Saccharomyces cerevisiae S288C: one gene and its partner. Changing the gene in region 1 together with any one later gene gives a genetic interaction. Each region holds a gene or a part of one and is shown in the gene's direction. Other genes may lie near its edges.

Region 1 (3,611 bases):
TCGAAGAAAAATTCTCATCCTCTTTATCAGCACAGGCATTTCCAAGAACAACGTCATCGGTTTTGTCCTCCACTACGACTTCCAGGAAGAGTAAGAATGCTGCAATTTCTAATAAACTAACAACTTCGCAGCTATTACCAATCAAAAATATGAGTTTGACCTGGAAAGCGAGCGTATGCGCACTCGCTATCACCATTGCCGCTCTTTGCGCTTCTCTTTAAAGTAAACGGCAACAGTGTGGTGCGTTTAATGGTGCTAATTATATATACACTTTTCATTATATTATTATAGATACTCAGAACGTAGGCACTATGTAGAAAAGCACCCAAAGTTCGAAATATCATATGATATACTTCTATGCATGTCGTAGAAAAAGACAACAATCTGAATTGCAACCTCAAAAAAAAAAATCTTAGTACTACATCATATTTGTGCCGTGGCCTAGCTGTATCGTGAGAGAAGGGAGAATAATATCAGAGAAGTGGGGTGAGCAAAGTATAACAACCACGATTATGAGTTCAAGTTCTTATAGGGATTCATATTTTCAATACCGCCATTTACCAGCACCACATCACATATTATATGCGGAATGGAATCAAGATATACTGGCGCTTCCGGACGAAGTGGCAAATATTACAATGGCTATGAAAGATAATACTCGCACCGACGCGGAGGAGGGAAGAGCTCCCCAAGATGGGGAAAGGAATTCTAATGTACGCGAGAGCGCTCAAGGTAAGGCATTAATGACAAGTGAACAAAATAGCAACCGCTACTGGAACTCTTTTCATGATGAAGACGATTGGAATCTATTCAATGGCATGGAACTGGAGAGTAATGGAGTAGTGACGTTTGCTGGACAGGCGTTCGATCATTCTTTAAACGGGGGAACCAATTCCAGGAACGACGGTGCCAATGAGCCAAGAAAAGAAACGATAACTGGTTCTATTTTTGATAGGCGCATCACACAATTGGCGTACGCAAGAAATAACGGTTGGCACGAACTGGCTCTCCCACAGTCACGATGAGCAGAACGTGACGTATATGCTGATCATTAGTCAGAAATTGTGGTGTATGGGTACTATGCACAGCCGTTGAGACTAGACTATTGTGTGAGAAATTTTTTTAAAGCAAAACAGTGGCGTAAAATCCACGGAACAAAATAACACCCAAAACAGTTGTACTGCTTTGTTTACTTTCGAGAAAGGCATTTTTTTCTCGGTTTGTTTCCGGCGAAATGATTTTTGGCGCTTTAGATAGATCCGGCTAGTTTTTCGGCGGGGGATAGGCGGTGTTTATATGGGCTGATTTATAGCATGTTAAATTTTTTTTCCGTACTTCATTTAAGTTAAAGTTATTCGCTGCTTGCTGCATCTGCGGAATTGTAATAGCGAATTTAAGAAAGAGCGTACCCGTTTTTGTTTTTTTAGCTAATGCCCCTTTGCATTATGCCGAAGGGTAGAAACTTTGTTCAAGATTATGCTTTCTTTGTAATTTTAAACATAGTCTTGCACTTATTTTTACTGCATGTGGATAAAAGTTTTTCGAATCGTTTGCAGGCAAATGTAAACTATTACTTTTTAATGATTTCTGATACTCTTTGATTCCATTCTGTCATACTTTTTTCTGCATTTGAAACGCTAATTAAGTATTTCTTGGCCCTGCTTCTTTTCCTTTTGATTTCTTTTTTTATTCTCAAGTTTTTAATTTCTGGAGAATCTCTTTTTTTGTTTATTTTGTTAACACAGTTAGTGGAGCCTTGTAGTATCGAGAGTAGACTATCTTTGGAAAGCAATGCGAGTTGAGAGATTGTGGAGTGTACTACAGAACCAATATTAAACACAATCTTTCCTCAAACTGTAACACCGAGTTTTTTTCCCCACCAATCGTGAATCCGATAGCATATACTTTTGTCTAGAAATTTCAATAAACAACAGAATAACGAAGAGTGCTAAGGGACAAATGCAAAACCCTCCGTTGATTCGTCCCGATATGTATAATCAGGGAAGCAGCTCAATGGCTACTTATAATGCCTCTGAGAAGAATCTAAATGAGCATCCTTCTCCGCAAATTGCACAGCCCAGCACGTCCCAAAAGTTACCTTATAGAATAAATCCTACAACCACTAATGGGGACACCGACATATCTGTTAACAGCAATCCTATCCAGCCTCCTTTGCCAAACTTGATGCATCTATCTGGTCCGTCTGACTATAGATCGATGCATCAAAGTCCTATACATCCATCTTATATCATCCCTCCGCATTCAAATGAAAGAAAACAATCAGCTTCTTACAACAGACCTCAAAATGCTCATGTTAGTATTCAACCTTCCGTGGTATTCCCCCCTAAAAGTTATTCCATATCTTATGCACCTTATCAAATAAATCCCCCTTTACCAAATGGACTTCCGAACCAGAGCATATCTTTGAATAAGGAGTATATTGCAGAGGAGCAACTATCAACCCTCCCATCTCGCAATACCAGTGTTACTACTGCACCTCCTTCTTTTCAAAACAGTGCTGATACCGCTAAAAATTCAGCTGATAATAATGATAATAATGATAATGTAACCAAACCTGTTCCTGATAAAGACACCCAACTCATAAGTAGTTCAGGCAAAACTTTAAGAAATACTAGAAGAGCTGCTCAAAATAGAACCGCTCAAAAGGCATTTAGACAAAGGAAAGAAAAATACATCAAGAATCTCGAACAAAAATCAAAGATATTTGACGATTTACTAGCAGAAAATAATAACTTCAAATCATTAAACGATTCATTAAGAAATGACAACAACATTTTAATAGCTCAGCATGAAGCTATAAGGAATGCAATTACTATGTTAAGAAGTGAGTATGATGTCTTATGTAACGAAAACAACATGTTGAAGAATGAGAATAGTATAATAAAAAATGAACACAACATGTCAAGAAATGAAAATGAAAACCTAAAACTTGAGAATAAACGCTTCCACGCTGAATATATACGAATGATCGAGGATATTGAAAATACTAAAAGAAAGGAACAAGAACAACGAGATGAAATAGAGCAACTAAAAAAAAAAATAAGATCCCTGGAGGAAATAGTAGGGAGACACTCGGATAGTGCCACGTAATACAATAAATAGGGAGCAGATATTGATCTCTAGTACTGGAAGATCAACTTTTTGCTTTGGCCTTATAGGTCATATAAATTTTAATAATTAATGTAACAGACAAATCAAGGTGTGATTCTGTTCTGATAAAATTTGTTATTTTCCAGAATGTTCTAGAAGTGTTCTTTCATCTAATGGCATCGCGTTTGAATAGGGGGTGCACGGACTTTTTTTTTTGAATAAACCCCTGTGATTCATTGTATCTAAGCTCATCAAACCCCCTAGTTACTGACTCACGCACACACATATATATACATATATATGCATATGTAAGCATGAAAAGTTTGACTTCTATTATCTATTCCAGGAACCCTGAAACAAGCGAGTGAAAATCTTTCAAGGTTAAATATGTTAAGACAAGCTACAAAAGCACCAATACAAAAATATTTACAGAGAACGCAACTATTAAGGCGAAGTACTCCACGAATATACACTATTGTACAGTGTAAAAGATCTATTTG
Region 2 (3,901 bases), on another chromosome or scaffold:
GCCACTTCGCTTTTCCAGAAAGAAGTTCTGGACCCACAGAAATTGAGCAGGTATGCCTCATTGTCCGACAGGTTCCAAGACGCAACCTCGATGAGCAAGTATGTGGATGCGTTTCAATACGGAGTCATGGAGTACCAATTCCCCAAGGACATGTTCTACTCGGCAAGACACACCGACGAGCTGGATTATTTCGTCAAAGTGAGACCTCCCATCACTACCGTGGAGCACGCGGGCGACGAGTCTTCTTTACACAAGCATCATCCGTACAGGATCCCGAAGAGCATTACTCCTGAGAACGACGCTCGCTACAACTACGTGGCCTTTGCGTATCTGTCCGATTCCTACCTCCTACTCACGATCCCGTACTTCCACAACCTGCCTTTGTACTGCCACAGTTTCAGTGTCTCGCTCGACCACACGATTTACTTTCACCAGTTGCCTCATGTGAACAATTGGATCTATCTTAAGATTTCGAATCCCAGGTCCCACTGGGACAAGCACCTCGTACAGGGCAAGTATTTCGACACACAGTCGGGACGCATCATGGCAAGCGTCTCTCAGGAGGGCTACGTTGTCTACGGGTCAGAACGAGACATTCGAGCCAAGTTCTGAGGACAATTCCCTCCCACGTATAAACACATACATATATATTCTTATATTATATAATAATATCCTATTTATTATTACATCACCTTTCACGAGCGGGTATCATACCTTTTTCCCTTCGATCTAAGTAGAAAAAGGACCTGAATGATCATTGTGGTACTTATTCCCACGCATAACCGACTACGGCACCACAACGACGCACCAATGCCATCTGACGTAGCATCGAGGACCGGGCTGCCAACCCCGTGGACCGTCAGGTATAGTAAGTCCAAGAAAAGAGAGTATTTTTTCAATCCAGAGACGAAGCACTCGCAATGGGAGGAGCCTGAGGGCACCAACAAGGACCAGCTACACAAGCACTTAAGAGACCATCCAGTGCGTGTAAGATGCCTGCACATTCTCATCAAGCACAAGGATTCAAGAAGACCCGCATCGCATAGATCCGAGAACATTACGATATCCAAGCAAGACGCTACGGACGAACTGAAAACCTTAATCACGAGGTTGGATGACGACTCTAAGACGAACTCCTTCGAGGCCCTGGCTAAAGAGAGATCAGATTGCTCTTCATACAAGCGAGGCGGCGACCTCGGCTGGTTCGGGAGAGGCGAGATGCAGCCTAGCTTTGAAGACGCTGCCTTCCAGCTCAAGGTCGGCGAGGTAAGCGATATCGTTGAATCAGGAAGCGGTGTTCATGTGATCAAGCGGGTAGGTTAGGTTGGCATTTGCTTCTCCACCTCACCTTTTTATGTTCTTATTCCCTCTTGTATCCATTCCGTCCTCGCTGAACCCATGAAAAGAAAAAAAATTAACTAGTCACATAGTTAAATGGCGCTGTTCTTCGCTGCGAGCGGAACCGGGCCTGAAAAAAAATTTTCTCTTTTCCTCTCCAGATGACTCAGTAATATAGTAGTATATTATATAATGTAACAAAAGAAGAGACTGAAGTTTTATTATGCATTGTAGCGCCTGTAATCTTTAGTAACGGATTCTTGTATTTTTTTGTAAACAGCCAAGAAAAAAGTAGAGATGGGCTTGTTAACGAAAGTTGCTACATCTAGACAATTCTCTACAACGAGATGCGTTGCAAAGAAGCTCAACAAGTACTCGTATATCATCACTGAACCTAAGGGCCAAGGTGCGTCCCAGGCCATGCTTTATGCCACCGGTTTCAAGAAGGAAGATTTCAAGAAGCCTCAAGTCGGGGTTGGTTCCTGTTGGTGGTCCGGTAACCCATGTAACATGCATCTATTGGACTTGAATAACAGATGTTCTCAATCCATTGAAAAAGCGGGTTTGAAAGCTATGCAGTTCAACACCATCGGTGTTTCAGACGGTATCTCTATGGGTACTAAAGGTATGAGATACTCGTTACAAAGTAGAGAAATCATTGCAGACTCCTTTGAAACCATCATGATGGCACAACACTACGATGCTAACATCGCCATCCCATCATGTGACAAAAACATGCCCGGTGTCATGATGGCCATGGGTAGACATAACAGACCTTCCATCATGGTATATGGTGGTACTATCTTGCCCGGTCATCCAACATGTGGTTCTTCGAAGATCTCTAAAAACATCGATATCGTCTCTGCGTTCCAATCCTACGGTGAATATATTTCCAAGCAATTCACTGAAGAAGAAAGAGAAGATGTTGTGGAACATGCATGCCCAGGTCCTGGTTCTTGTGGTGGTATGTATACTGCCAACACAATGGCTTCTGCCGCTGAAGTGCTAGGTTTGACCATTCCAAACTCCTCTTCCTTCCCAGCCGTTTCCAAGGAGAAGTTAGCTGAGTGTGACAACATTGGTGAATACATCAAGAAGACAATGGAATTGGGTATTTTACCTCGTGATATCCTCACAAAAGAGGCTTTTGAAAACGCCATTACTTATGTCGTTGCAACCGGTGGGTCCACTAATGCTGTTTTGCATTTGGTGGCTGTTGCTCACTCTGCGGGTGTCAAGTTGTCACCAGATGATTTCCAAAGAATCAGTGATACTACACCATTGATCGGTGACTTCAAACCTTCTGGTAAATACGTCATGGCCGATTTGATTAACGTTGGTGGTACCCAATCTGTGATTAAGTATCTATATGAAAACAACATGTTGCACGGTAACACAATGACTGTTACCGGTGACACTTTGGCAGAACGTGCAAAGAAAGCACCAAGCCTACCTGAAGGACAAGAGATTATTAAGCCACTCTCCCACCCAATCAAGGCCAACGGTCACTTGCAAATTCTGTACGGTTCATTGGCACCAGGTGGAGCTGTGGGTAAAATTACCGGTAAGGAAGGTACTTACTTCAAGGGTAGAGCACGTGTGTTCGAAGAGGAAGGTGCCTTTATTGAAGCCTTGGAAAGAGGTGAAATCAAGAAGGGTGAAAAAACCGTTGTTGTTATCAGATATGAAGGTCCAAGAGGTGCACCAGGTATGCCTGAAATGCTAAAGCCTTCCTCTGCTCTGATGGGTTACGGTTTGGGTAAAGATGTTGCATTGTTGACTGATGGTAGATTCTCTGGTGGTTCTCACGGGTTCTTAATCGGCCACATTGTTCCCGAAGCCGCTGAAGGTGGTCCTATCGGGTTGGTCAGAGACGGCGATGAGATTATCATTGATGCTGATAATAACAAGATTGACCTATTAGTCTCTGATAAGGAAATGGCTCAACGTAAACAAAGTTGGGTTGCACCTCCACCTCGTTACACAAGAGGTACTCTATCCAAGTATGCTAAGTTGGTTTCCAACGCTTCCAACGGTTGTGTTTTAGATGCTTGATGCATTATAGGCCCCAATCGATGAATATATATATAGAGATTCTCCTTTTCCATCATCTTTTTTGTTCGCAATCTTTTCATATATATATATATATAAATATTTATTATAGTCCATTGAATGGATAAACATTTATTTAAAAAAAAACAACGATCAGTATTTTTTTATTTGAAAAGTCGCCTTAATTATAATCTACGAAATTAACTCTGCTTTGCTGCCACTAAAGCCTTCTGTTTTAGTTTTCTACTAGCATACTTGCCAACAAATGGTAACAGTGCCGTATTCAAGGCAATGAGTGCGACTAAAATACCATAATTCCGACCCATCTTGCGTCTTGTCACGTCAAAAAAAATAACCCTGTAGATATCGATGACGTTGTGAACGGGCATCATGTACCCATATCTATAAACATTATTGTTTAGCGCTAATGGGAAGAAAGAAGGTGCAATATTGAGAATGACAAATGATAGGATCCAGAACCCGAGATACTGGGGTCCTAACGTAATAACAA

What was found. A genetic interaction does not mean that the proteins touch.
Region 2: mutations in YAP6 (region 1) and ILV3 together harm fitness more than expected from each alone (negative genetic interaction), as found in Saccharomyces cerevisiae (one large-scale study listed by BioGRID).

Annotation. Positions count from the first base shown.
Region 1 is NC_001136.10:974,131-977,741, reverse strand, and holds YAP6 (Yap6p), read left to right. Parts: upstream 1-1,959; coding exon 1,960-3,111; downstream 3,112-3,611. Other genes in the region: EXG2 (glucan exo-1,3-beta-glucosidase), read left to right, coding at 1-221; SWM1 (Swm1p), read left to right, coding at 513-1,025; chaperone ATPase HSP78, read left to right, coding at 3,499-3,611. UniProt on the Saccharomyces cerevisiae protein: Transcription activator involved in the regulation of genes expressed in response to environmental changes and metabolic requirements.
Region 2 is NC_001142.9:463,943-467,843, reverse strand, and holds ILV3 (dihydroxy-acid dehydratase ILV3), read left to right. Parts: upstream 1-1,635; coding exon 1,636-3,393; downstream 3,394-3,901. Other genes in the region: TES1 (palmitoyl-CoA hydrolase), read left to right, coding at 1-612; peptidylprolyl isomerase ESS1, read left to right, coding at 811-1,323; YJR015W (uncharacterized protein), read right to left, coding at 3,591-3,901. UniProt on the Saccharomyces cerevisiae protein: Dihydroxyacid dehydratase that catalyzes the third step in the common pathway leading to biosynthesis of branched-chain amino acids.